Linked DNA regions of Drosophila melanogaster. The protein of the gene in region 3 binds, or shares a complex with, the protein of the main gene of each other region. Each region holds a gene or a part of one and is shown on either strand. Other genes may lie near its edges. The genes, in order: me31B, exu and cup.

Region 1 (10,109 bases), 3.6 Mb from region 3:
AACGCAATCGTTTCAGGTTTCGGCAGAGAGAGATGCGATAGCTTACCAACCAGAAATGGAACCCTAAGCGAGTCCAGCAATCAAACGTACTTTGGTTCCAACCATGGACTGCGATCCAATACTATATCTGGCATCCGTCCGCACTCAACCAACAAGCATAGTAATAGTCCAACGTTCACCATGCCATTAAGATGCTCAGAATCCGAAGAGTCATCAATTAGTGTCGATGAATCCGACGACAACGGCAGTTTTAGCCACTACAGATTAAAGTGCGTTGCAATCAAATAATAATTATTTAATAATAATCACCATTTCAATTTCTAGCACGCGGTCATCGGAGACGGCAATTCCTGAGGAAAACATTGATGACTTTGCCAGTGCGGAATTATTTAGCAAAGTCACCGAACAAAATGGTAAGCCAAACACAAAAACAATTTTTTAACATGAAAAGTAGCTAATCAATTGGCTTTGTTTAACTGCAGTAAGTGACGAAAACTACATACCGATGAATCCAGTCAATCCTACCGATGCTATCCATGAAAAGGAGAAGGCTGATATGCAGAGATTGGAAGATGCTTCGCTGCATTTCAACTTTCCGGAGCACGCGTCGGAAAAGCTTGCTAAGGATTTTGATCTGGACTCTGATAACCAGTGAGTACACATTTCGCTTCAACTGTGCCACGTAATGCAATCAATCACATCTTGTTACAGATGCTGTCGTCCCATTCGCGCCTATTCGATAGGCAACAAGGTTGAGCATTTAAAGTTTAATAAGCGCCTGGGACACTTGAATGATACGGGACAGAATCCGAATCGCGTGCGAGCCTACTCGGTTGGCTCCAAATCGAAGATACCGCGCTGCGACCTGCAGCGAGTGGTCCTCGTGGAGGACAATAAACATGAGTTCACAGCGAATAGGAGTCAGAGTAGCATTACCAAGGAAGGAACCAGCTATGGCAGCAGTGCCAATCGACAAAAGAAGTCCACAAGTGCTCCACTCCTCAGTCTGAAGAACCAGATAAACTCCGACCGAATGAGTGACTTAATGGAAATTGATTTTTCACAAGCAACCAATTTGGAAAAGCAGAAGTTCATCAAGAATAATGAAATTCCGAAATACATTGAAAACGTGTTCCCAAAAGCCCCGCGAACGGATAGCTCCAGCCTAACTCTGCACGCCACAAGTCAAAAGGACATTTTCAATGGCACCAAACTAAATAACACTGCGATCACATCCGAGGATGGTTACCTCGAGATGAAGCCAGTCGGTAATGGATACACTCCCAGTTCGAATTGCCTGCCAATGAAAGTGGAGAAACTCAAGCTATCCGACTATCAGACAGCACCGCCACTCACCGCAACAGCCGCACCAGTGCACGATTTAAACAAAATTAGCACATACAATATATCCGCTGAGAAATGGAGAGAACAGCCCAGCAGAAGCGAGGAAAAGAAGTCGAACTCGCCATTGAATGACAACACCTTTAGCTCGAAACCCACAAATGTCGAGAGTACAAGCAAAAGCCATGATGTTCATTCAGCAAATCAAATTGATTGCGAGAAAGTGTGCGCGCAGAGCAGCGATAAGCTAAATAATCATCTGGCCGACAAGATTGTCGAGAACAACAATTTGGATATAGGCGGGCATGAGGAAAAGAAGTTGGTTCATTCGATAAGCAGCGAAGACTACACACAAATCAAGGACAAATCGAATGATTTCACAAAATTTAACGAAGCCGGCTACAAAATTCTGCAAATTAAAAGCGACAGCTCACTCATCTCATCGAAGCTATACCAAAAGGGTATACACAAGGATAACTTGGAGCGTTCGCAGAGACTTACAGAGAGTGTGAATACGATTCCCGATAATGCCACCGCCACCGCGGTGAGCAGCAGCTCACTCACCAAATTCAATATAAATTCAGCAAAGCCAGCCGCCGCCGCCGATTCGCGTAGCACTGGCACAGATCCAAGTACACCACAGAACATTCTACAGATTAAAGATTTGAATTTCCCCTCAAGGTCGTCGTCTCGCATATCCCAGCCGGAGCTGCACTACGCCAGCCTAGATCTTCCCCATTGCAGTGGCCAAAATCCAGCTAAATACCTGAAGAGAGGATCACGCGAATCGCCGCCGGTGTCCGCATGCCCGGAGGATGGGAATACCTATGCGAAAATCGACTTTGACCAATCCGACTCCTCTTCCTCCTCATCGAACATATTTAATACGTAAAGTTTTGAAATTTATGACCCTATCCTATATATATGATTTGTTTAATATTGTACATTTATTGTAAATATTCTGACAAGCAAAGCTTACAATTTTGGATGCTAATAAATAAATTTTATTTAAATTATAATGATCCCTTTGTACTTTTTTTTTGGAATCTAGTAAATCGGGTAATTGCCAATGGTAATTCTTCCATGTAAGTAAATCTAGGATTTAGCTTGATCCAAGTGTACTTCTCTTGTCCGAAAATCCTGTAATTACTTTTAGACCTTTTATTTGATTTAAACCCTTTACTAAAAACTGGATTGATATTAAACGACCTTAGCCTGCCTTTTAATAGCATTCGACTAACTTTCCTTACCAAATCCCCAATAGTTAATGTTAATACTTCTCAGCACCAAAACCCACAAAGTGAACGAGCCTTTTTTTTATAGACCAGTCATTTCAGTTATCTTAAGAGCGCATTTAAAAATTGAATTGCTTTCCATTTATTTAATACAATTTTGATTTCTGAAATAGTTCATCTGTTTTTATTGATTCCACGATTTAGACTCTATTTCAGATACTAGCGTTACACAGGGCATATCCGTTTTATTTGCTAACGTTGCCCTCCTCGTTCGCAGAATTATTCAGATCACTGTTGTTGCAAGTATCGCCAACGGATGCGCCAACGTTTGCGACATAAAGGGCGGGGTCTATGACCTTCGGAATAGGCTTTATTTCGGTTCCAAGTTCTTTTTCAATCCGATGCAGATCAAACCGATCCTCGTAGGTTATCAGATTAATAGCAATACCTTAAAATGAGAAACGAAGATTGTAAATAGGCTAAACTATAATATGAGAATGCAATTAAACTCACCCAAATGACCGAAACGTCCTGAGCGACCAATTCGATGCAAGTATGTCTCTGCCATTCGTGGGAAATCGAAATTGATTACTACATTCACGGCCTGCACGTCGATACCACGGGTGAACAGGTCGGAGCACACCAGATTGCGACAGAGTCCTTGGCGGAAATCGTGGAATACTCGATTTCTGTGTGCCTGGGCCATCTTAGCGTGTATATAGTAACAGCAATATCCAAGCTCTGTGATCTTTTTGGCCAATAGCTCGACACGTTGCGTGGAATTGCAGAATATGATAGACTGATTGATCTGCAGCTTCGAAAAGAGCGTATTCAAGCAGTGTACTTTCTGGCGCTCCTGTACGAATGCATAGTACTGAGTGACACCCTTCAGTGTTAGCTCCTCCATCAGGTTGATCTCGTAAGGCTCGCGTAAATGCTTCTCCATGAAATTCTTGACTGTTAGTGGAAATGTTGCGGAAAATAGCAAGATCTGTGGATCCTTTGGTAACTTTAGTATAACATGATCCAGCATGCCTTGAAAATCAAGCGACAATAGCTTATCGGCCTCATCCAAAACTAATATTCTGCAATGCGACATATCGGCAACTTTCTTATCCATCAGATCTAATATTCGTCCGGGAGTGGCAATAATTAATTGTACTGCAGGCGTAGGGAAAATTTAGAAAGTTGCAATTAAACCGATATTAGGTTATTTAACTATCATCAAAACCCACCTTTTTGATAAATACGAAGAATGTCATCCTTTAGAATGGTACCTCCCGTTGTGACCATTACCCGGATATCAAGATGTTTCGCCAGCTCAATACATATCTGTGAGGTTTGTAGCGCCAACTCTCGGGTGGGGACCATCACAAGTGCCTGAATGTAGTCCTTGGTTGGGTCGATTTGTTCTAAAACTGGGATGCAGTAGGCTCCTGTCTTGCCTGTGCCGTTCTTGGCCCGAGCCAGCACATCTTTTCCACTTAATGCTATAGGAATAGCTGCTTCCTGAATTGGCGAAGGGCGCTCCCATCCCTTCTCGAATATACCCATAAGCAGTTCTCTTTTAAGGCAAAACTCCTCGAATTCATTGCCTCGCGTATCGGTCACATCCTGAGTAAGGCAATGGCAATACATTTATTTGTTAGTTTGTTTGTGCTTTAAATTGTATAAATTCCGATTGATTTGTCGGCAAACTCACAGTTGTTTTGAATCGGTTGTCCTTTGGCGGCAGCTTCAGCTTTGATTTCCAGCCCATATCGTCACTTGTGTTTCCAGCAATTTGAAGATCATTTATAATCCTGGATGAAAAGAAAAAAAATAAAATGGTAATTAAAGTATTACGATATATGTAGGTCATTCACATCCATATATATATGGATGGCATATATAAGCATATATATATATTAAAAATTTTTGATTTTTAAAATTTTGTAAATGAGTTCTTTTATGTAAAGTGCATTTTAAGCTAAAGTCTAAGCCATGTATTAATGTATATTAATAATAATGTTAATATTGATTTTAAATCGTAAACAAAGATGGATAATGTCTTGAATATTTAAGAACTGAACAATCTAAAAGCGATTGAACTCAACATTTTTTCTCTTTCGCACATTTATGGAGGAGAGAAAAAGAAACGCTACTCCAAATTTTAAAATGGCAGCCCACGAATAACTGTTCATGGCGCTGAAATGCAAAAAAAAAATACCTGTTTTGTTCTGATCTCAAAAGTTGAGAATCACCCAATAGAAGTTTTACCTAAATACAGTGTTAGTTTCTAAATGATTTAAGTCAGTGCAATTATATTTAGCAACATTTTTAGCGGTAAATAAGTCCACGAGTGCAACTACATATGTAGATAACTCTTTTATACATATGTACACATGTTCCGCTACTACATACAATAAAGTAATATAAATACGGGAATCACATTGTTTGGTTTTTTTCATTAGATAACATGTTCTGCAGGTTTAGTTGTTGAGTGAAAACAGCCTAACTACATGATGTTGCTAAAATACAGATCTTCGGCTTTTACATGCTCAATCATTTGCAAAAATTGACGTTCTAAACTATAAAACGGCTTGTCTTTTCGGCATCTAATCATAAATATGGGCTGATGAATACGCATGCATATTATGTTTGTTGGGACACCAAGCTTGGGTCCTCTTGTGAAAAAAAAAATATAAATAAATATAAAATATACAAACCCCTTGCTTGTTAAATTAGTGTGCCCAGAATTTAACTTTTCAGTCATCATTATTCACAGTGAAATTTTAGTTTAGTTTGTTTAAAAAATGTATTTCGCTCTCTTTTGCTTTCGGCTGACTAATGAAGTCACTGTATTCACCGATTTTCATATACTGCTCACGTATTCAACTTTGCGTTTCAATATAAAATTTCACTTAGCTTCAAAATAGTCGAGTCGCCTTACAACATGCTATCAATAATACAAATTTCTGATGACTCGGAAAATATTTTCACTCGGTGTAGATAATAAATATGTATTGCCCTGATTTGGAACGTTGGAATGAAACAAATTTTGCAAGTTCAAAATGACGAACAATAATATTGTAGAAATTTATACATGGCTTAACAAAAACAAATGAACGTTTTAAAATTAGTCCACATATTTAGGCAAGAATTATTTTATTTAAAAAAAATCGGCATTTAAATTTTCCTCTTATAAATCCTGTAGGTGTATATGTATACCCAAATATTTCACATTTTTGTTGTGTTAGCTGCTGTTGCCGTTATTTTAAATTTAAATTAATTTAGAAAAGCATTTCCAATGAGCAACTCCACTCCGGCCGGGTTAAAATCACCGTTTAATTATAACAAAAACAATATATGAACTGCATTTCAGATGAAGCAGCTGCCTGTGTGAACGGGACTTAGGAACGACAGGAAGATTTCGAACGTGTATGAAAGAAGAACATCTGAGTTAAGCTTTAATTTGATTGTCTGCGATTTTTATGAATATCTTTTCATTTATAATTTATAAGTATTAAATATTTAATGAAAGATCACATTAGAAACTAACTAATAACATTAAAATGAATAAAAATTATTTTTTTGATTTTTCTTTTCTTAACCAATGGATTTATACTTTATTTATACTTATTCCGATTGGAGAATGACAAAATTAATATATTTGTATTAGAATAAATAAATAGTACTTGCGATAGAGGAGATTTGTATATTATAAAAATGACATTTATGTTTGCGATTTTAGTTTGTGTCATGAAAGAATATATGGAAAAAAGTCAGCTAATAACTAGACTTAAGTTAATTGAAAAGATAAATACTTGCGTATCGTTGACATTTTCCAGGTGATTTATGGTGCGTAGAGTACTTAGACGATTAAAGGATCCATTGCTTACCTCACCCACCTCTGTACATAAGTGTGTATGGATGTGTGTATCTGTGTACCTTATCAATTTCCCCTTAATGAGCTTTGCACAATGTTAACACGAGCAGTCGCATTTGTCTTGCCGTCAGAAGCTAGTGTACAAAGTCATCAATTGAATTGTGTAGATAGATAGATATGTGTTAGAACCACAAAGTACCTACATAAATATGCGGCCATTTGGGTGTATTGATACCATCCGTGAGCACCCCCAGCATGCTAAGTGTTAGGCACTCCATGGGGCATAACTTATTTGTATAGGCTTACGAGAATCCATAAATGTATTGCCTATATACGTCGAGCTATGTCCGTCTGTGTGCGGGCCAAATGTTTACCCATAAACATTCGCATTTGCTCGCGAAGGAATCGCGAAGACTTCAGTTCAGTTCGTTAAATCCGGCAACTGCATGCGGTTCGAAGTGTATATGGTCCGATAACGATTCCTCAATGATAAGATATGAAAAGTCCGTTCTAAGAAAAGATACAAACATTACACAAGCTCGCAAATCGGTCATTGGGTATAATAGACGAGCCGTAAACAATGAACATCGGACTAAGTTTAGTGTGCCTGATTTTAAGTGGCATTTCAAAAGTGCTCGCCGTTCAGTTATGCTGTGCCGCGAATTCGTTACTATTCAAATATCGCCGCACTGTGGACAATGCGGAAATATACCAGTGCGCTTCCGCCGCAAGCAACATCAGTGAACTTCCGGATCTTGCCCAAGTGATAGGCAAATTGATACCACCAATGGGCCTTGGATTAGAAAAGGCTATCAATGACTCAGGCCACAGCCAATTCGCACTATCAAAGTGCCAGAACTTTAGCAGTCTGAGTATAAGTGATTTAGGTGAACGCACCTTGAATTTGCGAAATAACTCATGCATTGGACTATTAAACAGACGTCTCATCGTTTTATCTTGTGAATTCGAAAAGAATGTGCCGTCTCAAAGTGTTGGATTTGTAAACAAGTGCTGCCCACAGGGATTTATTTACGTTTCCGAAAATAATACATGCAAACCGGGCGAAAGCGATTTCTTTGTTTATACTTCCATCATCAGCAGTCCAATTATATTTTTTGATAACACCCTAAACTGTTCCGACCACAGAGCACTCGTGGAATATACGTTGTCCTCCGGAAAAGTGCACTTTCATAATAATTCGTTGATTTGGAAAGATGGAACCAACAGTTTGCCCAGCTCCAAGTTTTGCATCGAAGCTATTCACGACTCCGACGATGCGGATTTGGATAGAGGTGCATTACCGGAACAGAAGTTTCTGGTGCGTGCTTGTCAGGAAATGAAAATTTGCCAAAAAATACCCTGTATTCGTCGTTGTTGTGCCGAAGGTGAAATGTATGCAAAAGGAAATTTCAGTACCTATTGCAAGATCGATGGAACCGATTTCAAATTTGAGGGTTTTCAGAACCTAAATATCAACGCAAACTTCTCAAAGCCCTCAGGTATGTCGTCACCAGTTTTGCAGTTATTTTTATAGGTCTTTATAGCAGGAAACGAGCGGCAATTGAACGCAGTAATCGCCCATTAAAGTCGTAAACTTAATGATCAAAAATATTATTAAGAATTGGAAGCAATCGATTTTGATGTTTTCCATTTGTCTGATCAAATAAGTGGTATAAACAATTGGTTTCAAGTGCCAAGCAAATTTCGCTATTGAAGTTATCTACGTCATTCATTAGTATTGACATTTTTCATTAGCTTTGTCATTTTAATTATTTTTGTCAAATTTTCTTATCTGGTTAATCAACAAGTGAATGACACATTTGCCTTTTCATTGACATAGGTCAGATTGTATAGTGTATTGTATTCAATACTTTTCAGATTTCGGTATTGTTCACGGCTTGCAGTGCCCAAAGTTTCGCTTGGATCCTGATAATTTTCCAGACGATTCGCATACGATAAATCCGTCCAATGGCTCGCTTATCATTCATAACACATTCAAAACCTATACGAATACTCAGTACTGCGTGGAACGGGTCAGACCCAATCAAAAGGTAAACTCCTTCCTATTTAAATCGACATATTTTATACAGTAGTGTCTTGTATAATCCTAATTATTTGCCTTCGTTCCTTTCAGAGCAGCTGTATACATTTTTGTGCTTTGATAATAAGGTGGTGACCGGCGACAGGATTCGCTTCAAGATGTATCCCATTGGCCTGCTCATATCCTGCTGCTTCTATGCACTCACACTGATTGTCTACATTTCAATTGCCAAATTGAGAAACCTGCCCGGCAAAATCCTAATTTGCCTCGTTAGCAGCTTGTTTGCGGCATATCTTGGAATCGCGCTGGGCCAATTGCGACCCACATCGAATGACGACATCTGTTTTCTTTCTGGTGGGTATTGCAGCCATTAGGTAATTAGTTGCTAATCCTGCTGGGACGAGGAGACCTACAAGTTATTATACCATAAAAGCGGGAAATCGATAGCAATCACTTTTATTATTACATTCATAGTTATACTCGTCAAGTACTTAATTGTTTAAGGGTATTTTGTCTCATTCTCTTGTGCAATTTGGTAACTAAAACCTAAACAAACTGTTTCTGTTTTGTATCTTGAAGGTTTTTTCGTGTACTTCTGTTTAATGGCTGCCTTTTCTTGGATGAACATTACTTCCTTTGACATATGGAAAACATTTGGGTAAGTACAAATGCTTTTGAAATTTAGATAAACTTGCAATAATTTACACTTATTTAATTGTAGATCAACAAAGCTTAAAAGCTGCGAAAAGAGCGACCTGAGAAGGCAGTTTATTTGGTATTCGTGTTATGGCTGGGGGCTACCAACATTGCTAACTGGAATAACCATAGCTTTTACGAAATCTGACATTTTACCGGATGCGGTGCGTCCAAATTTTGGACATGGTCGTTGCTGGTTTACGTGTAAGTTAAAAATCTAATTAAATTACGATTTAAATATTAAAGTATTTGTATATTTTTGTATTAATTCCAGATGATTCTTTTGGTTCAGCCAGCTTATTGTTCTTTTCGGGTCCAGTTGGCATACTTTTCATTATAAACTTAGTTCTATTCGTGCTCACAATGAAGTATTGCAACAAAGTAAAAAATGAAATATACAAAATGCAGAGCTTGAACAGCGACAAGCCAGTTTTGAAAAGGCGATTCTTTCAGGACAAAACCAGATTCGTTATGAACACGAAACTGTGTTTCGTAATGGGCATCACATGGCTGTTGGAAATAGTTAGCATTTTGTTTTATGATCACAAGAAAACGTTCTTTTGGACCATCAGCGATTCGTTTAATGTGCTACTTGGAATCTTTGTCTTCATTATATTTGTGTTTAAGCGCAGAATTTATAACGAAATTATGTTTAAGTTTGGTAAGTTTCAGTGGCATCAATTAACTGGCAGTTAGTTGAATATACTACATGTAATTTGTATTTATTTAATCTTTAAGGTCTGCAATCAAATCCGAGCACTGCATCGACTAGAACCCGCGCTGGCGTGACCAAATCCTATGCTCCAACCAGCACCGCGATGACCACTCTTCGACATTCTCCTGGCAGCTGTGAGTTTAAGCGCCAAACGTCGACGAGACCCGAAAACGAAGTTATGCTTTAGGATGGTTAAATAACTTATGATTAACT
Region 2 (10,465 bases), on a different chromosome or scaffold from region 3:
TATTTTAAAATTTTATTTCAATAATCTAAACATTATTGGGATTAATATGTGAAAGAGAACTATTTGAAAAGCATTTCAAATAGCGAAAGATTGAAGATACGAAACTGATAAGCCGGTTGATTGTAGCGCATTCTGGCACAGATTCGGTTTGCAAGCCACAAACACACTCGTCCTTTGCCTTTTGCTTGGTGTAACCAATTTTATAGAGTGTGTTAGAGTAAAAAATTATACAGAAATATTATGGAAAAACAACAGGACAGCAAAAAAAAAAAAGGAAAAAAAGGGAAAAGGGAGACGATGGCAGCCGCCGCAAAGGCAACAAATTCGAATGAAAAACTTTCTAATGAGTCGGCATTACAATTTCAAATTTGTTGCGCAAATTATTATAAAAGTTTGTGTGTGAGCAGAACAACATAATGAAAGTTATATACGAGCCTGAGGTTGGCATACAAATGCCACAATAATAATTTTCAAACCACCCATCGCCACCCCCAAAAAACCATGGGTGGAGTCATGGAATCCAGGAGTAAATGCAGCAGGAGTAGCCTAGTTTCGTTGTTGTTTTCGGTTTGACTAAAGAACTTGTTACACTTGCAGTCTTGACATTAAATTATTTAATTATTTTATTATAATTACATCTGTATATCTGTATACTCCAGCGCAGCACATGCATGTTTTTGACACATTTATTGAGCGAAAGTTCTTGTTTTTTCTTACGCCTCTTTTGCTGCAAAATTGTTTTAGTGGCATGTGAATATACTTACATACATATATAAATGGGGGCAATACAGGTCAGACTGGCCAAAACACAATTCGCACCTAATTTAGTTTATTATTTCATGATTTCATTTATTTTTCGCCTGCGGTCGGCCGAAAATTGTCCGCCAAAGTGGATTAGAGTCGGTTTTGGGCCGTAAAAGAAATTTAAACTTTTTCGCTCCGCTGTATTTTTTACGATGCGTACAAAAAATTGTTGCATGTTGAATGGTAGTTGATGGGGGGAGGGGGTGTGGTTTTGGGGCTGCTGCGAGTGCTGTTTTGAATATTTAAATCATTTTATTTGCCACGCCACTTAGCGAGCAGCTTTCATCGTCCATGGCTGCAATTCTTTCTGCTTTTCCGAGGGGGGGCCAAAATCAATTATTTAGGCAAAATGTCAGCCAAATCTGTGCTCTGTTGTTTTGTGCTCACTGTTTGTGTCACGTTATGAATTTAGATTAAACAATTTTGCCATCACATCGGATGTGTGCAATAGTGTACCAATGGGAATAGAAATCAGTTCGAAAGTTTTCAAAACTCCAATTACTCAGATATTGCGCTTCGAAAATTTAAATATACCCAATGGAAAAGCGTGTATAAACGGTTTTGTAGTTTCATAAATATTTGTGCCAAAATATAGCATGTTAAATATTTTCGTTACAAGCTTGAATTTGGTTGAACTACAAAAATTGTTTGTGCTTTGTATAGTTTGTTATGCAAAACCACAATGAAATTGTAGGAACCCATAAAGCCTTTAATTAGTTGGGTAACCGGAGTAGAAATGTAATTAAACTATTTGCTTACTTAATTTATGTTCTAATTAGATTGCAAACTTAATGGCGAGAATTGCAAATTCAAGCTTAAATTGTATAATATTAATTTAAGCAAAAAAAAAAGAAAGGGATTTAAATGTGTGCAAAAATCTCTGTTTGCATCTTGAAGATTTAAAAACTAAATGACAGTTTCTCTATAACAAACCCTTCAATGAGTAATTATACGAAACGATTTAAGCTCCATTTCGCCTGAGAACCTAATCGATTTTCGATGGGTGGTTCGAGCTGGACAAACAAACGCTGCATTCCATGGGAGCCAGCAAATGTGAAGCTATTTTAGACAATTATGCTCTGATTACACACGTTTTAGCTGCCATCAGACACCATTCCGAATCCGGCTGCAGAACCATTGTTGTCCATTGCAAGGATAGAAGGGGGAGCAGGTGGAGCAGGAGGTCCTGCACCTTTGTTAATTGCTGTTGCAGGCGTCTTCTGGCCAATGAGCTGGCGGAAGCTCAAATGGCACTTGCCGTGCATTTAACATTAGTTCGTTAGCTCCGGCAAATGGCAAATGGTCAACAGCAAAAGGCCCTTTGCCTGCTTGGAACCAAAGGACGGCGACCTCTTGGCCAGAAGTCAGCACAGTATGGCCAACGAAAATGTCAACTTGAGGCCAAGAAAGGACTCAGACAAAGGCTATATGTATATATGTAGTCGGGAATGGGGATAAATGCATGCGCCAGGTGGGGATGTTGGGCCAAAGGGTGAAGTATAACAAAAGAGCTGAAAATTAAAAAGAGACAAGCAATTAAAATGGCTTACAAGCGCGCGAACAAGGGGGTCCCCTCCTGAACTGCACCTACTCCGGCTCAGACGGAGCTCGGAGCTCAGCCGGTGTCCGGATGGCCGAAAGCAGGAGTCATCTCGCCATCATCCCCGCATGACTGTCCCTGCTTCTGCTGATGCGTAAGTTGTCAGTTGCTGAATGGCCAAGTTCCCCACTCTGACACCACTCCCTTTCCCCCCCCCCTTGCTCCAGCAGACATTTGCGGCAGATTCTGGCTGTGGCAAGGCATTCACCGCTGACCAGGACTTTGCATAATGCGCATACGCCCCGTTGGCCCGTGGGCGGTTTTTCGCCATTGAGTGTTACTTCCGGTTTTAAGGAGCTACAGGCCAACACTACCATGGCCCGAACAATTACAACAATTGGTTGTAACAACGCGCGCAGTAAGCCACCTGAAAAATAAAAACAGGAACTGCAATCCGAAGGGAATCGACTACAAAGTACTCATTAGATGCGTTTTAAAGCTTTGGTTTGGAGCTTCCAAAAGAGTTTTTAGTGTTATTTGCCTAGTTTTAATCATACCTAATTCTGCTAAAATGACTTTTAACTTCCTTTAAACCTGCACTACGGTTTTTAATTCATTTCTTCTGACTCCGATTGTGAATTCCAATCTGAACGGAAAAGACGGCATAACCGCACAGGCTGCAGTGGCTGCAATCCAAGGAGCCGGCGGGCATGAAATGCGTATGTGGGACCCATAATGAAATACATGGCATATGCAGAGACCCGGATCGGGCGAACAATGTGTGAATGCAACTCCACAGCCGGTCGTGGCTCCGGCATCCTCATCCTGTGCACTCCGTCCCGGATGCCCGCCGTCACGATGGCAATCATAATAATGGCATACAATTTAACAGCATTGCGTATCGGAAGGAAATCTCGGTGGCCGCAATCTGTGCCCCTCGTCTTCGGGCCACTGTGACTTGGAGTCGGACTCATTGCATTTGCCTACTTATGTACTCGGGGGTTATGTAACCCGGGGGTTGTGGGAGCAGGGGCGTGGCACTGGGCGGGCACTGCAGGACGGGATTAAATGGGTCACTTTGACCGCTGCACAAATGACAATTGCCGGTCAGCAAATCCTGGGGAATTGCTGCAGTTGTTGGCTCGGCTTAAATGCATATGCATTAACAGAATAAATTATGCATTTTTCGCACATAAAATTCTGTCGCAGTCCAGGCCATCATCTCCCATGACTCCTTCCTGGGCCATTGCCGGTGTGTCAACTGAGTCATTATGGCTGTGTCCCAAGTCTCTGTTCACGTGCTCTTCGGTGGTTATTAAAGGTGTCACTCCAGTAGCTCATATTAAATGGATTCTACTCATTATCTATTCCAAGAATTATGATTATCAACTATTATGTATTAATGTAATCAGTTTAAATATTGGTTTTAAAGTGTTTATTTTATACGGATATCCACATAATATAGATTGATAACAAGTAGCAGACCAGTCTGCCTCCAATTACTGTTCACCTGAAAACCGCGTGGTGGAGCTGGGGGGCACAAGCTTCTCCGATGGCTTCGGTCATGGTCAGGCTGGCGACACGGCTGCTGGAAGGCTGGGAGAAGCTAGTGTCTGCCACTCCTATTCCTTTCGGCCGACGTGTCCAGGCCGAGGTCCGCTTTGATTGCAGTCGCCAATTAGCGTAATATTCGCAATATGCTTTTGTCTGCGCATTCATTTTTATTATTTTTCCCTCGCCTTCTGAGGCACGCGGCACGCCTTAGGGGCACGAAGGGTCTGCTCTGGTCCGGTTTCCATTCCGTGAATATTGGCCAGCGGTGTCATGGCAAAAAGTTCGCAGCGCCAGATGGTTTTAATTGCTGGTGGGGATGTTTTTTGCCTAAGTCTTTGGAAATTAGTTTAAAGCATTTTGAGCGCGATGGCAAGCAACTAATTGATATTGCTTAATATTTATGGCTTGCCACTTTGGTGGGGGGAGCAGTAAGAGCGAAATGAGCGGAAGTGCAGTGCAATTTAACAAATGGAAAACCCCGGAAATGCAAATTGGAGCAGAAACAGCGACAGTCATGGCAACAAAGTGCTCACTGAAACCGGAGAGTTGCAAAGAAATTAGCCGAGTCGAGTTGAGTCGAATGTGTGTCATGCACTCAACTTAACAGCGCCAACGGCAGGTGATTACCCTGCGTTACGCCCCAAACATTCTCTACTCTTCTGAAGCTGATAAATCCGTGTGACGTACACGCCGTCTGGCTGGTGCCCAACATGGCCGGCCCATCGATACGATTGCGATTCAGATTCATTCACCCGCCATGACACCGATGTGCACACGGTTTTCTTGGGCCGAATGTCCGACGGCCATATCGCTTCGGCACAATGTAAACAATGAGAGTTGTTGGGCCCGGGGGACCTTATCAGTAAGCAGCATAGGCGGGAAAATAGATAGGACGTTGAGCAATCGATATTCTGGTGGAATCAAAACGGCCGAGCGATTAACAGATTTTAAGGGCTTTAATGCTAAGCACACACTCCCTGATGCAACTTAATGGTACACTTAATCCTAGACATTCCTCAAAGTATTCCCTATGTACAAAAGATATGGCAAAGAGAGCTACTCCTCATCCTTGATGCAGTTCTCGACCAAATCCCTCAGATTGGGGTTCTCCATGGCCGCAGCGATGCGCTCCTTGTCATTGATTTGCTTGTTAACTGGGGAAACGTAATCATTTTTACTTAGAACACATATGTATGATAATAGTATCTGGTTGGTCCAACTTACTCTCTTCCTCGGTTTGATGCGCTCCCTTCTTGATGTATATGTCTAGCTTTATGTTGTGCGGAAGTCCGCGTTCTACTTTCACGCGTATACAGAGTCCAATAAGCGTGGCCAACGAGCAATGTGGCACTGTGGGGTTAAACTCGATGCGAACCTGAAAGAATTAAGAGACAAATACCATGCATTTCAACTTTTTACTACACAAAAGATTTATGAGGTGTGGATTTAGTATAATACAAGTACTTTAAGCTATGAGATCAATTTTAAAGTCATTTTGAAGCTAAATCGTTAATCCTTTCAAATATTAAGCAACAATAGTGATGAAAGCAAATAAACACACGCGCAGATTTAACTTATGATGAAATGATGATTAGGGCTCAAGCTTATGGCTTATAAAGATATTGAGTAACGTACAACTGAGACATTGGAGCGCGTGGGCGGCATCACAAAGATTCCATCCTCGTAGACAACGTTGAGGTCCTCCAAAGTGCACGGCTTCTCGGGATCGCGAATGCCGCGCAACAGATCTGTGTAACGACAAGAGAAATTACATAACTAGGCCAAAGTGAAAAAGAATGCCATTAAATATCGAACCGTAGATGGTTTCCTGCAGTTCCGTCTGATTCTTGTAGCCCAGTTCATGGAGCAGTGCGTCCTCCCCGAAGGCAATGGCCTCATCATCCATCGACATCTGGCTCGTTTTGCGCACTAACTCGTCGGCGTTCTGGCTGCGTCCGCTGATACTGGCGCTGCTGCTGCCCGTACCGCTTTCACTGCTGCCCGTTCCGCCCGCTCTCCCACTATCGCCGCCGCACGACGACGTCACAGTTGCGACCGAACTGACGCCGCTGTCGGATTCGGAGAGCTTGCGCTTTATGTAGGACAGCATGTTGTGGCACCTGTGCGTGGTGTTATCTCGCCTGGTTTTATCTTTACCGTTGTGTGCTTGGGTGATTACAGCAGCATAATTCGGTCGGCAGGCGATCTATTTGCTTGGTAATTCTTCACTTTTGCGGTGCAAATTGTTGGAAATAAGCGATGGCATCAGCTGATTATTGTTTTTCTGCCGACCAGGGCTGCAGAGTAGGTATAAGTGCTAAGCCGTCTTCGATAAGTCTATCGATAGTGATATCGATACCCTGTCATCTCTGGCGCAACCATTTGAAATTCGTCATCCCTGATCCTCTTATCAGTTCTTGTCTGCGCTTTTGTCCAAATATTTGTTGTTTACCCACCAATTTTGCCGGCTAATAATTGGAAAAAAATTTATTTACAAGCTGAAAGACTATATTTTATTATAGCAGCGGTAAAAATATTCTGCAAAAAGTTTTCACCTGCACAGTGGGCGTTGTGGCAAGATGTGGACGAGTTGCAGCTGTCTAACCCATCGTACTTAAGTCAAAAACCTCGATTAGCAGGCTTTGCATATGTCAAATTCGCGCACTTTTCCTAGGCCGTCGGGTGCATCAGGAAATTATTCATTACGTTTTAGTTAGTCGTACGAATTGTTTCTTATTTGTGAAAGCTCGTCGAACAGAAGCAAATTTCGCTTTAACCTTTTGAAAAATAAAGGAAAAAGTTCGTAAAAAGCGAAAGAGCCCATCGAAACCAACACGAAAAAGGAGTTCAATAAAGGTGAGCCCAAAAGAAAAGTGCTAAAGTGTGGTGAAAGTGAACATACATACATACACATAAAAACATCTGTGTAAAAGATGGCGCCACTGGAAGAAAACCGTTAGTTGTAGCTTTGGGTTTAATAGACTCTTGAAAATTCGTAGCCCGTCACTTCATATCGAAAATCTAGTGAAAGCGGTTCGCGTTTTGCAAAGGAAATCGGTTCCTTAAAAAAAAAAAATTCTAGTGACTCAGCTAATTTCGTTATCCGAATTTTCTAGATTGCTTTTCGCAGATCATATAAGAAAATGGTTGCCGATAACATCGATGCCGGAGTGGCCATTGCCGTCGCCGATCAATCCTCGTCGCCCGTGGGCGATAAAGTTGAGCTGCCGGCCGGTAATTATATCCTGGTGGGCGTGGATATCGACACCACTGGACGTCGTCTAATGGATGAGGTAATACCCCCTGACTGCCGTTAGATCGTTCGTCGTTCGGTCCTAACCCCACTTGCGATAAACCCACAGATTGTCCAGCTGGCCGCTTATACACCCACCGACCACTTCGAGCAGTACATCATGCCATATATGAATCTGAATCCAGCTGCTCGCCAGCGTCATCAAGTTCGTGTTATTTCGATTGGCTTTTATCGTATGCTGAAGTCGATGCAGACTTATAAGGTGAGTCCAGTGCAGTCCAGTCCATTTAATAGTGGCAGTCAAGTATTGAAGCATCCACAATTCAACATACAATATCCTCTCAGATCATTAAATCCAAGTCTGAGATCGCTGCCCTCAAGGACTTCCTCAACTGGCTTGAGCAACTGAAGACCAAGGCGGGTCCCAGCTCGGACGGGATTGTGCTTATCTATCATGAAGAGCGCAAGTTCATTCCCTACATGATCCTGGAGTCGTTGAAGAAGTACGGCCTGTTGGAGCGCTTCACCGCGTCGGTGAAGTCGTTTGCAAACAGCATCAATCTGGCCAAGGCTTCCATTGGCGATGCCAACATAAAGAACTACAGTCTGCGAAAGCTTTCCAAGATCTTGTCCACGACCAAGGAGGAAGACGCGGCTTGCTCTGCGTCCACATCTGGATCTGGATCTGGCTTGGGATCTGGATCTAGTATGGTGTCCGATTCGGTATCGATATCCCCCAGGGACAGTACCGTGACCAATGGTGACGATAAGCAATCTAGCAAGAACGCCGTTCAGGGTAAGCGGGAACTGTTTGATGGCAATGCCAGTGTTCGTGCCAAATTGGCCTTTGATGTGGCCCTTCAGCTGAGCAACTCCGACGGCAAGCCGGAACCAAAAAGCTCGGAGGCATTGGAGAATATGTTTAATGCCATACGTCCGTTTGCCAAGTTGGTGGTGTCCGATGTCCTGGAGCTGGATATCCAGATCGAAAATTTGGAGCGTCAAAACTCCTTCCGTCCGGTGTTCCTGAACTACTTCAAGACCACTCTGTACCATCGTGTGCGTGCCGTAAAGTTCCGCATTGTGCTGGCCGAGAATGGGTTCGATTTGAACACGCTAAGTGCCATCTGGGCAGAGAAAAACATCGAGGGCCTGGACATAGCCCTGCAGTCAATTGGCCGGCTAAAGAGCAAGGACAAGGCGGAGCTGCTCGAGCTTCTGGACAGCTATTTCGATCCCAAGAAGACCACGGTGAAGCCGGTTGTCAAGGGTAACAGCAACAATAATAACAATTATCGTCGTCGCAATCGACGCGGCGGCCGCCAATCGGTGAAGGACGCTAGGCCATCCAGCTCCCCATCGGCTAGCACCGAGTTTGGAGCAGGAGGTGACAAGTCGCGCAGCGTTTCCTCGTTGCCCGACTCTACTACCAAGACTCCCTCGCCAAACAAGCCGCGTATGCACCGTAAGCGCAACTCGCGTCAAAGCTTGGGTGCAACCCCCAATGGACTCAAGGTTGCTGCTGAAATATCCTCCTCAGGCGTGTCTGAGCTCAACAATAGCGCTCCACCTGCCGTAACCATAAGCCCAGTCGTGGCACAACCCTCACCGACACCGGTGGCCATCACGGCCTCCAACTAAAATCCAGTTCTGGTGGATCCGTAAAGTAAATATCTTATATTGAGATACTTCTGCCATTTGCTTTGTAGATAACGTAGTTAACGAGGGGTAAGCCTTCATGTAGATTGTTGATTAATTTTATGAATTGCGTACACTTGCTTGTATTTTTAATGAATTTTATGCATCAAATATATTGATAAAAATGTAGCCTTTTTTAGCTAAATGTAAAAGGTTTTATTACATATTTTCAATATAAACTCACAACGCTTAAGCTAATCATTCAAATCACTTTGGGATTTTCGGGATTGAGTTTCCTAACCGACATTTTGCCATTTCAGTATATCAAAAAATGGATGATCAAAACACAAGAAGACAAGGGCAGAGAATGGAGATTTAAACCACATACGAACTTTCTTCCTTTTAGAAGATCTAGTGCAGACAAGCTTTAAATTCCAGTGGAAGCAAATTTCCCGTGAACACAACAAACACATCCGCGCACAACTCACGAGCACGTTGGTGTATCGATAGTGTGAGTAAACCGTGACTGTGACGTAAACAGTGACTGTTGAATAGTGATGACACAAGCTTCAAGCGACATTTTTGAAACGAGTGAATTGTTAATCGAGACGTTTGAAAACTATATTGTCCAGCATAGGGAGGATGCTGAGCCCACTGTAAACTCAAGAGACTATATATCCACACTTTAAAGCAGCGTATGCTAGAAATAATGATGGAGAAGAAGGAACAACAAATATGATGTACAATTAAGAACTCGCTGCGTTTAGGCATAGTTTTCCCGGCGAACCGATGCACATCGCCGCACTCAAATGGGAGATTGGGAAAATATGATCCAAAACGAAACGCCTCGATGAAAATTTTCCATTGGACGGGCCTGTCGACGCACACTATCAAAACTCTATGAATAAAACCCAAGATCCAGGCCTGGTCCAATGTAGAAAACTTTCACATTGAAGCTAAAGAAAGCACGATATAAAAATACACCAATCTAATACAGTTAACCTTACGCACGCACACGCACGCACACAGAAAGCATATTCAATTCGCACACTTAATCTAACCCAACACTTGTGAACATATCCAGTATTTCAAGCTGTATTTCATATATGTTTCATATTTACAATCAACAAACATATGTAATATCTGCAAAGGGCGCGAATAAACGAACGATAAACTAACGAATCAACAAACATATGTAATATCTGCAAAGGGCGCGAATAAACGAACGATAAACTAACGGTCAGCCTATCGCGCCGAGTCACTGTTTTCACTCTCGCAGGTGCACCGCTAGGTGTGACCGTATTGCCGCCTGGCCTGGAAAGAGTGGGCCTGTGTGGATTGCTTCCATACCCATACCTGGTGATCAGTGATCACCGATCAGTGCAGCATCGTCCATTTCCCGGCCAGAATGGACGTCGATCCCGCAGAAGAGGCGCCTCTAGACGAGGCACATACGTCCATATACGACGGCTATCCGCCCGATTTCGGCTACTTCAACATGGCCCACGGAATGCTGGTGGAGATCTCCGAGGAGATCCGGGCCAAGTTTCCCCACGAGCCGCGTCTACGTTTCTCCCAGCTAAACAACCTTCACCTAGCGGCCCGCAGTGGTCAGATGTTGAGCTTCGTCGAGATCTTGAATTCGGTTAGCTGCAGGGCGGTGCAGACCCACCTGG
Region 3 (9,499 bases):
AGTTGACCTCCTCCATATGCTGCGACTTGCCATTGTGGTACGAGTGGTAGTCTTCGTCGTTGTAACCCCACTTGGAATGGTTTAAGCGACCGCTGCCAATGCGTCTTTGGTTAACAATGGCCGGATCCTGAAATAATTATTCGAATATCTGTAGATTTTTCCATAAAACTTTAAAATTCTCTCGGCTATCATATACCTCTTACTTAGCTAATAAGTTTTAAAGAAATTAGATTACAGTGATTGCAATATAGCTGAATAGACTTTAGGAAACAGTTTGTTCCAATCACAATAATTAGGCAAACAGATACTGCATAAAATATAAATATAACTATACTTATTTAAACATTAAACAGCCATCTCTATGGACGTCTTATCGACCACCGCGCATCACTAGCGGCACACACAATCGCGCTCACACTGTTTACACACCCATATCAGAACGCCCAGCTGAGTGGGAGAGATAAGGCTGATGGAAAATTCTTCCACTGAAAGGCGGAATGCGTGCCAAACTCAAACTAAACGCTCGCCGGCAGAGTGAGCGGAATAATCCGAAGAGAGAAAAGAGAGGAATGTAGCTGAAGAAGCGCGCTTTGCTAAGCGAAAAACAGCTCAACTGGAATCGGATTCAGAAGCAAAAGCAGAATCACAATCGGAACACCAATATCAGCAGCATTAGGAGCTGTAATCGCAACGCGGCAGGTTGACATTGGGCTTGTCCCGTGAATCTGAAGTAGTCATAATCCGATCGGAGTGATACGGAGCGCCAGTCTTTCGACACGATGCAGTTTGTGGCCAGTGGTAGGTTTAAAAGAAGTTCCACCATGCCAATTTGATTCAGTTTCTATGGCGAATGGTCATATGTTGATCAACAATTAGTTCCAAATCAATGGTCTGGTTTATCGCTGCTCAATCTTAATTAAAATCGAATGTCATTGCAGAGCACCCGCACCGACGTCTAAATCCGTTGAACGGCCAATGGGTCCTAGTGTGCCCACATCGCACCCAACGCCCTTGGTCGGGTCAGCAGGAGAAGGCGCAGAAGAACGAGCTGCCCGAATTCGATCCCACCAATCCTCTGTGCCCTGGCGTCACCAGACCCAATGGAATCGTAAGCGACCAAACTAAATCCTCGCAAATGTTTTAAGCATTCTCACGTGTATATTTTGTAAATGATCAGCAAACTCCGGAATATGAGAGCACCTATGTGTTTGAGAACGACTTCCCGGCCCTGGTGGAGGTGGTGCCCGTTCCGCCCAACAACGATGATCCACTGTTCCAGATAGCTCCCGCCCGTGGCAACTGCCGAGTGATGTGCTTCCATCCCAAATCGAATCTGACTTTGCCCACGATGAGTGCAGCGGAAATCGTCGTTGTTATCGACGAGTAAGTGGAGGATTTATGGTTTATATCAGAAGATACTCAAAATAATAAACCCACTTTTTATCTAACTGCCTATCTAGGTGGATCAGCCAGTTCAACGAGCTTAGCGCCAAGTACGCGTGGGTGCAGATATTCGAGAACAAGGGAGCCGCCATGGGGTGTTCCAATCCCCATCCGCACTGCCAGATCTGGTCATGCTCGTTTCTGCCGACGGAACCGCAACTGAAGCAGGAGCGTCTGCGTGCCTACTACGCCACCAACGAGCGGCCCATGCTGGCCGACTATGTGGAGCGTGAGCTGCAGCGCCAGGAGCGGATTGTCATTGAGAATCGCGACTGGTTGGTGGTGGTGCCCTTCTGGGCCACTTGGCCCTTCGAAACCATGCTCATCTCACGCAACAACAATAAGCGGATCAATGATCTTACCGCAGAACAGCGATACAACTTGGCGCTGACCATAAAGGAGCTGACCACCAAGTATGACAATCTGTTCCAGTGTTCATTCCCCTACTCGATGGGTTGGCATGGAGCACCGACTGGGCCGGAGCATGCCCACGCATCCAGTGCTCATTGGACCCTGCACGCCATCTACTATCCGCCGCTGCTTCGTTCTGCCTCCGTGCGCAAGTTCATGGTGGGATTTGAGCTGCTGGCCATGGCCCAGCGGGATCTGACTCCCGAACAGGCAGCCCAAAGGTTGCGGGAGGTCGATGGAAAGTGTCATTATCTAGAGAAGTGATTTCGCTCGAGGGTATTTGTAGAATCCCAGATGGTTTAGAATTCAATAAAAGGAAATAGTCTAATACGACTGTAGTAATTACTTCATACTTATTCGCAATCAGTTGTAAAATGTTCTAGATTAGTGATTTGACTGTGGCGAGGGTCCAGCCAATGATCAGCATGATTGCCAAAGACCTCTGGAGGTCATGCAATGCAATCATTGATTTATCAGATAAGCTCAGGAATAATGCGACTTTGTGTTACCTAATGCAAAAGTGGGGAAAATGTTCTTAATCGATTAAGCGATTTTTTCTAAGCAGAAAAGGCGGGAAATATGATTTTTCATAAAAGAGCTTTTCTGAGCAGACCAAAAAGACAATTTGGCCTACAAAGGAAGGGGTATCAGATGGTCGAGGTACTCAAATGAATCGACGCCATGTGTAACTGTAACAATTACCGCACTGTCACAATCACTTTTTCCTTTTCAAATCATAAGTTTTCCATTAAGCTAACCAAGTCTATTTTATATAGAATATATGGCAAAATTGAGTAGAATAGTATAAGTTTAACTAGCTTACTTGGAACTCCGTTTGCGGCTGGGGCGGTTGGCTCTGGATGATGGACTCGTCACTGATTAGGTTCGGCTTATTTTTGTTTTTGAAGAAGGCAGGCATGCACTCATTGTTGTTGTTGTTGTTCATGTTTAAGTTAGCTGTGGTGGAGCGGGTCCGGAATCTTGTGCCGTCCGAGGTGCGCCAAATATTCATGCGGCGAAGCCTTCCCTCCAACTCAATGTCGTCGCAGGTGGCGATGCGAGGCATCACAAAGCTCTCCTTGGACCTGTGCATCAGGGCATTGAACATCCCGTTGCGAATGTCCATCAGGCGGGAGCGGGTATAGCTCTTGACCGGCTTGCTGCTGACCACCGGAGCAGTAGTAGGACGAACAGCCTTGGGTGCTCGCAGACTTCCTGGCTTGTGAATGCCTGTGCTGGGTGGACGCTTTTGCTGCACCTGACTAGACTGCTGCTCCGGCACGGCCTCCTTGCTGGCCACTTGCTTCCGCGGCGAATCGTGCTCCAGGTCACAACTAACGGCCGTGCAGGACAACATGCTGGAGGGCTGTGTGTACGGTGTGGATGCTCGGGCCGAGAGAACTTGCAGGGTCAGACCCTCGTCCTCGTGCAGATGCTTCGAGGGTCCATGCATCGGAATGGCCTCCCCCGAAATGGATTCGAGGATTTGATTCTGTTTGGCCAGTAAATTGATGATCTTACAACGCCTCTCCATCTCCACAATAACGGCGGGCTTTTTGGTCTGCAGCATAACAGCCGTGGATGTGGATGCCAACATGGATCCATCGCCGATCGTTTCTGGGTTTGAGCGCCTGGGTAACATCTCCAGGGCCACCACATTCTTGTTTTTGATGGAACGAGAAGACTGTTTGCCAAAATAAAAACAACATTGAAAAAACTTCATGATATATGAGAGTGCCTGTCTGTACTCGATGTAAAATAAGTGTCGAATATATGAATGCCAAGTCAAAGTTTCTTTAACTAAATTTTTAACGACATTTGTATCAGAGCTGCTCTGATTCCTAATACCATTTACGTGTTTAATACTGTGCTTTGTTGGCCAATAAATATTGCGAAGATTTTAGACTAATATCAAGTTTGACTCAAGAAAAGTTAAATTTAAAATGTATTTCAATATAAATATATAATCTGACAACAGTGTGCACTGCTAATAATAAAATTAAAAATGTTATATGTAATGAACTCACCTCAGGGCTGGCCTTTAGCGTCCGCTTGTTGGCCTCCAACTTGGTGATGGCCTTCTCCAGTGCGTCCTTCAGCTTGAAGGCGGGCAGCTTGAGGTAGCCCAGTCCGGTGGCCAGGAAAGCGCTAGTCGGCAGCGGAGGAGGCGGGGGCGGAGCGCACGGATCCTCCCACTTCTCGGAGTTGGCCTCGTCGTCGTCATGCTCTTGACTGGCATTCAGAGCGGTGGCCTTGGTGGCTAGCGGAGCCTGGACTGGAGTTGGTGGCGGTGGAGGGGGCGGGTACTCGAACTTGCCCTTCTCAGCGGGGGTCAGCACCTCATCCTGCTGATCTTCGACTGGCAGCGGAAGCTGCTGATGCGCTGGACGATCGGTTGCACCCGCATTGGTGGCAATTTTCAGGGCGCCAGCGCCATTTTCTTGCTCAGCTTCGGCCATTTGCATAGCATGGCCATTCAATTCGATCGCCTCCTCTTTCATAGGGTCCATACTCACTAATTGTTGGTTTTTTTTTTGGTTAAAACTTAAAACGAGTACTTTTGATCGGGTCAAATATATTGAAATGTATGAGAAATTGAACGAAATCACGTTTAGCACAGGTTCGTTCGATCTTAGGATCCGTTATTCGGCGCTGCTACGATGAGTAAGCAGGACAGGAATAGGAAAAAATACCGAAAGCGAATGGTGGAAGATGGAGGATGGATTGACCAGTGTTGACAAACACTGATCTGCGACTTATACAGCTTTCAAATAGTTAATTCTTTGATTCCTAAACAAAACAGCGAATTTATTAATAATGCGCTACGACATTTACTTTTGACAACAGAAAGTAGCTAAGCCTGGAACGTGATAACTTTGGAAACTAGTACTTGTGATTCTTAAGATTTCGATTACATAAAAGCCGTTATTCTGTTACAAATTTAAAAAATTAAGTGCAAACGATTTTAACGTACTGTATCTTATTATTTGACAACTATACATATGAATATAGCGGAGCACACAAACCCAAAATTTAAATGAATTTGAGCCAGCACTTTGGCAGAAGGGTGATCGCCGTGCGACACCCGTGGCACCAACTGGGTGCAATTCGTCACTCGTTCATGGAATCCGGGAGGGAGCTGCTGGATTCGGGGCACCGCTCGGGCACGATGGCAGATGGTAACCGCGGGTAAACCTCCACATTATCGTCCACTTATCCAACTCCCAATACCAAGCACAGTGGCGAAGAAAATCCGTGAGCACGTCGGCGTGGAAGGAGGCTACCACATCATTCCCAAGAGCCGGGATGGACTGCTCAAGTTTCAGCCGAAGCAAGACGAACTGCCCAATCGCTCCATGCTGGACTCACAAACGACTGCCCAGGTGCTCCTGGAAACAGATGCTCTGTTGAGGCAACGATTCGTTTACGGGCGAGGCTTGCTTCGCATGGGCAGGATAATTGAGGAACTTGACCTTCTTGCAGGTAAGTAAGTAAAGTATACTAACTAACTACTCCAAATACCTGATTAATGAGAGTGGCCTTGCAGTGTGGATCTGCCATCTTCACATCCATCTGCCCAATCTGCCGGAGGGTGTGCCGCTGCCATACACTTTTATCACCATGCTGGTGGACCACGCCCACTTCTTGCAAGACAAGTTTATTGCGGATGCAGATGTGTCCCTCTCCGGTCACGTTTCATATACGGACAATAACTTCATGGAGGTCACGGCATATGTGCGACAAAGCGGAATGTTGCTGGCAAAGGGCATTTTTGTGGTAGAGGCTCGCGATGCCATCAATAATGGCCCTGCTCCTGTCAATCCTCTGGTGCCGGCCAATGAGCTGGAAGAAAGTTTACACCAGGAAGCGCAGAAGCGGCACCAGGAGCGTGCCAAAGCGTTGTATCGCCTGGAGTCGCAGCAGCCCACCAAGGAGGAACAGCAGCTCATGTACGAGCTATTTACCCGAACCAAGGGCGATGACGGACCTTCGCCGAGTGATATGACTACTCTACCACCGAATTCCCGCTGGATGTCCACGTGGCGCCGCAGAACCCTGATGCATCCGTTCCCGGAGAACCGAAACGAATCGAACACCATTTTCGGAGGGTTCATCATCCGCAAGGCTATCGAGATTAGCTACATGACAGCCTCCCTCTACTCCAACCAGCGTTGCATGATCCGCTTCATTGCGGACGTTACGTTCGCCCATTCCATTCCCGTCCATAGCTATATAAAACTGAAGGCGTACGTGGTTTTCACCCACGAAAACTACATTCAGCTGCTGACGGTGGTGAATGCAATCGATGGCAATAGCTTTACGGAGCTTAAGTGCAATGTGCTGCACCTGACCTACTCCTGCAGCAAAGCAGTTCCGGAGATCCTTCCCAGAAGCTATCACGAGGCGCTGTGGTACCTAACTGGTCGTCGCTACTTCAATCGATTCCGTGAATCAGTAAGTCACGACATGGACAATGGATCTGCCGTAGAAACCAATGGAGCGAAAAAAGACAATTAGAGATTGGATTTAATAAAACATATGCTGTCGATTTGCATTATAGATATTTTCATTTGATGAATTAATTGAATATACACATTTTTTCAGCGAAACGCCGTTTATTTAAACATATATGTAAACATATTGTGAACACAAAACCAAATATGACTACAATAATTTATCCTTTGCATGTTATTCGTACACATTGTTTGTTAATTAATTCGGTTGACAGGAAAAAATGGATTAAGAATACATTTTAAAAACCACTAATTATAAAACTGCACATACACATACCACCATGTATGACTGGAATTCTTATGAACAAAAAAACATTGATTATTGCCCTAACAACCGAATCCCCGTGGAGCTAACTCTTTGGTTGGGCAACTGAGCCAGCAGCTGCGGGTTCGCTGCTACCTCAACTGTTCGAGCGGGCCGCCTCCCGCTTGCCCTGAATCCAGCTCTCAATTTCCTGCTTCAGAGCCTCGTTGGACTTGACCTTATCCATGGTGAGCGGTTCGCGGTTAAAGGGATCGGTCTGATCGCTCAGAAGATGACGGGCGATGGTGGAACGATCCACTGTTACCTTGGAGCTGGGCAGCACCACAGGGTCGGTCATAAGCGTTGAGATAATCGGATCGAGGTACTCTTCCGGCGCATCAGCCAGCAGCTCCTGCTCCTCCTTGTATTGAGCACCCATACGCGCTACCTTCACAGCAAACTCGGACATGTCGCCTATAAGTTGGCCGCCTCCGATTCGGATCAGGATGTTCTCGGCATAGCTGAAGAGCTGTTCGCTGTATGAACGTCCATCCTGCGATACGGCCAAACAGAAGCTCTCATCGGAGCTTAGGTTGATGTAGATGTGAGAGATCTCGATCACCGTCTGAGCCGGATCGAATTCGAACTCCTTCTTGTCCTTTACCTTGAAGCGCTCCTTCTTTGGGCCAACCAAATTCAGCAGAAAATAATTCAGCATGGCTGCCATGCGATCGACCATGCTGTTGTGGCAGAAAATGCTTTTGATTTTCGAGGTGAGCAGCTTGAGGAGATTTATGGTGTCCCTACCGATAATGTTGTCAAATCGAGCTAGCATGCCCAGGTGCTGGAGGTTCGTCATGTGCTGCTCACGCTCAGTGTGCGGTAGGCTTTCCCACTCACCATTGTCCTGCGCCTGCTGAAGCTGTTTGATCTGCTCCAGATTGGACAACGACTCGTCCAACAGAAAGATGGCATCATTGATAAGCAGATTAATGAAGCGCAGAAATATGGGCGGCTCAATGGCATCCATATTCTGCTCCGCTTCGACTGCCAGGTCACGAAAGCACTGAACGTGCTCGGGTTTGGTCCACAGGAACTCCATTATAGCGTACATGGGCCGGCGATAGTTGAATTTTTGTTCGAATTGCACTGACTGTCCAGTCATCTCAATGCTTACGAAAACGTTCAACAGGCTGCGCACCACCTTCAACCGATCCGGATGGTTGTCGAAGACATGGCTGACAAAAGTCTTGCGATGGCTTCCCATAATCCGTGAGGGCAAGAGAAATTCCAATGCTTCAGCCAGTTTGGCCCGAAGGTGAGGATTCTTGACCAGCGCTGAGCTGCCCATGAATAGAATTATCATCTTGAAAAAGGCATCATGGGCAGAGAAATATATATTGATGTATTGTTCGCCGTTTAGTTTCCGGGCCGCATTCAAAAATGCCGAGATGTTGTCGATAATGCTCTCTGGCACCGATTGCATATAGGGTGCCACAAAGGGCGGTGTGTCTGAGAGCAGCTCCATGTTGCGGAAAACCTGTGGGGAAAAGTCGCGCTTGTCCAGGCACTGCTCGTAAATCTCACGCGGGAGCATGGCAATCTCAGTGAGCCAAATAGCCGAAGCTTCGAAGAATTTCAACAGGTACATGTCATTGGTGGGCTCGGCGAGCGTGTTCTTGATGGTCAGCACTTGCTGTATCTGGTCCCTTATCATGCGAAATAGGTTTTTGGCCACCTCGCTATTCGGATCGCTGTTCACGATCTCTCCGTACGCCATCTGCGTGTTTTGCAGCTCGCGCAGCACCCGAACGAAGCGCTCAATGCACGGAATATTGGAGAGCTCGAAGCATTTGTGTGTCATGTAGAAGATCTCCGTCACGAAATTGTACTTTTCGGCCGTCAAACGCTCCTCGCCCTCTTCGCTGGTGAGCAGGCAAGTCTCGGCGTGGGCCCTTAGCATACTAACGCCCTTCGCCTGCCGATCTTTGTTGGGAACTGCACAATATGTAGGGTCCACCAGGAGAACCTGCAGCGAATATTTAAAAAGTTATTACTAGATAAGGGGGCATGGCTAGTTCAGAAGTGTATTTACCTTTAACGAGGGCATACATAGGGGAGCACAGAGACGAACTAGAACTGCAGTCAGGTTGGTCATGAAGGCATCGCTTGACGTGCTGTGAGCTGTTTGCTCCAGGCTGGCATTGATGCTGCTCCATAGGTGACCACGCGGCACATTTGCATCCAGGCAATTGCCTACCCATTGAAGCGTCTTTTTCTTTGTTTCGGGTGAGAGTACGAGGAGTTGCTTGACCAGCAGGAAAATGGACTGCTGGTGATGCGACAATAGAGCCCACAGAGCTTCGTCAGTTTGGTTTATTGACAGCTCCTGGAAAAACTCGTATTTGCCTGTTTGGGTCTTGGGCAGGATTGAGATGCACAGTAGACTGCCCAACAAAGTGTCCATATATTCGCTACCTGAAAAATGACGATTTTATATCGAATTGCAGCTAATATTTAAGAATTTGCTTTAAATACCGCTAGCTCTGGGATTGGGAGTGGTGTAGTCAATTAGCAGCTCTCCAAGAACAGCTGCTCGCTTGTCGCGCACGAAATATCCGAGGATCCAGAATGTGTTCTTCTTCATTGTAATGAGGTTCAGCTTGGCGATGTTCTTCTGCAGCTCGGTGAGCACAGGGTAGAAGATGGCCTTTAGGGCGCCCAGGGCCTCAATCGGCTCCACCTCCTCCATCACCTTGCAGGTGACGCGTATCAAAAACTCCTGCGTGCTGGTATCGTGCTCATCCTCATCCTGCTCGAACATCTCCATCCACTGGGCACCGAAGGATTGCGGTGCAAAGAGGTCCGGCTGGCGCATGCAGGTGCT

What was found.
Region 1: cup (region 3) and me31B share a complex: the UniProt entries of both Drosophila melanogaster proteins name them as parts of the nanos RNP complex.
Region 2: cup (region 3) and exu share a complex: the UniProt entries of both Drosophila melanogaster proteins name them as parts of the osk RNP complex.

The regions. Positions count from the first base shown.
Region 1 is NT_033779.5:10,234,761-10,244,869, reverse strand, and holds me31B (maternal expression at 31B), read right to left. Parts: upstream 5,530-10,109; 5' UTR 5,335-5,529; coding exon 5,285-5,334; intron 4,932-5,284; exon of another isoform or gene 4,786-4,931; intron 4,379-4,785; coding exon 4,279-4,378; intron 4,191-4,278; coding exon 3,812-4,190; intron 3,738-3,811; coding exon 3,090-3,737; intron 3,025-3,089; coding exon 2,822-3,024; 3' UTR 2,698-2,821; downstream 1-2,697. Other genes in the region: chico, read left to right, coding at 17-269, 325-413, 483-651, 712-2,233; mthl15 (methuselah-like 15), read left to right, coding at 7,025-7,943, 8,323-8,495, 8,584-8,839, 9,065-9,143, 9,207-9,385, 9,456-9,842, 9,920-10,083. UniProt on the Drosophila melanogaster protein: ATP-dependent RNA helicase which is a core component of a variety of ribonucleoprotein complexes (RNPs) that play critical roles in translational repression and mRNA decapping during embryogenesis, oogenesis, neurogenesis and neurotransmission.
Region 2 is NT_033778.4:20,666,927-20,677,391, reverse strand, and holds exu (exuperantia), read left to right. Parts: upstream 1-6,630; 5' UTR 6,631-6,754; exon of another isoform or gene 6,755-6,756; intron 6,757-6,900; exon of another isoform or gene 6,901-7,014; 5' UTR 7,015-7,041; coding exon 7,042-7,191; intron 7,192-7,260; coding exon 7,261-7,413; intron 7,414-7,496; coding exon 7,497-8,792; 3' UTR 8,793-8,817; exon of another isoform or gene 8,818-9,040; intron 9,041-9,109; 3' UTR 9,110-9,965; downstream 9,966-10,465. Other genes in the region: galla-1, read right to left, coding at 4,955-5,052, 5,123-5,273, 5,534-5,646, 5,714-6,008; Fem-1, read left to right, coding at 10,198-10,465. UniProt on the Drosophila melanogaster protein: Ensures the proper localization of the mRNA of the bicoid gene to the anterior regions of the oocyte thus playing a fundamental role in the establishment of the polarity of the oocyte. May bind the bcd mRNA.
Region 3 is NT_033779.5:6,658,970-6,668,468, reverse strand, and holds the start of cup (cup), read right to left. Parts: upstream 4,806-9,499; 5' UTR 4,320-4,805; coding exon 3,882-4,319; intron 3,539-3,881; coding exon 2,678-3,538; intron 2,206-2,677; exon of another isoform or gene 2,119-2,205; coding exon of another isoform or gene 1,461-2,118; intron 1,384-1,460; coding exon of another isoform or gene 1,178-1,383; intron 1,109-1,177; coding exon of another isoform or gene 939-1,108; intron 799-938; coding exon of another isoform or gene 780-798; exon of another isoform or gene 436-779; intron 128-435; coding exon 1-127. Other genes in the region: Galt (Galactose-1-phosphate uridylyltransferase), read left to right, coding at 780-798, 939-1,108, 1,178-1,383, 1,461-2,118; CG13771 (uncharacterized protein), read left to right, coding at 4,892-5,033, 5,095-5,337, 5,402-6,372; Ube4A (ubiquitination factor E4A), read right to left, coding at 6,770-8,641, 8,708-9,090, 9,151-9,499. UniProt on the Drosophila melanogaster protein: Adapter protein that plays a central role in localization of transcripts in the oocyte and in young embryos. Maintains RNA targets in a repressed state by promoting their deadenylation and protects deadenylated mRNAs from further degradation.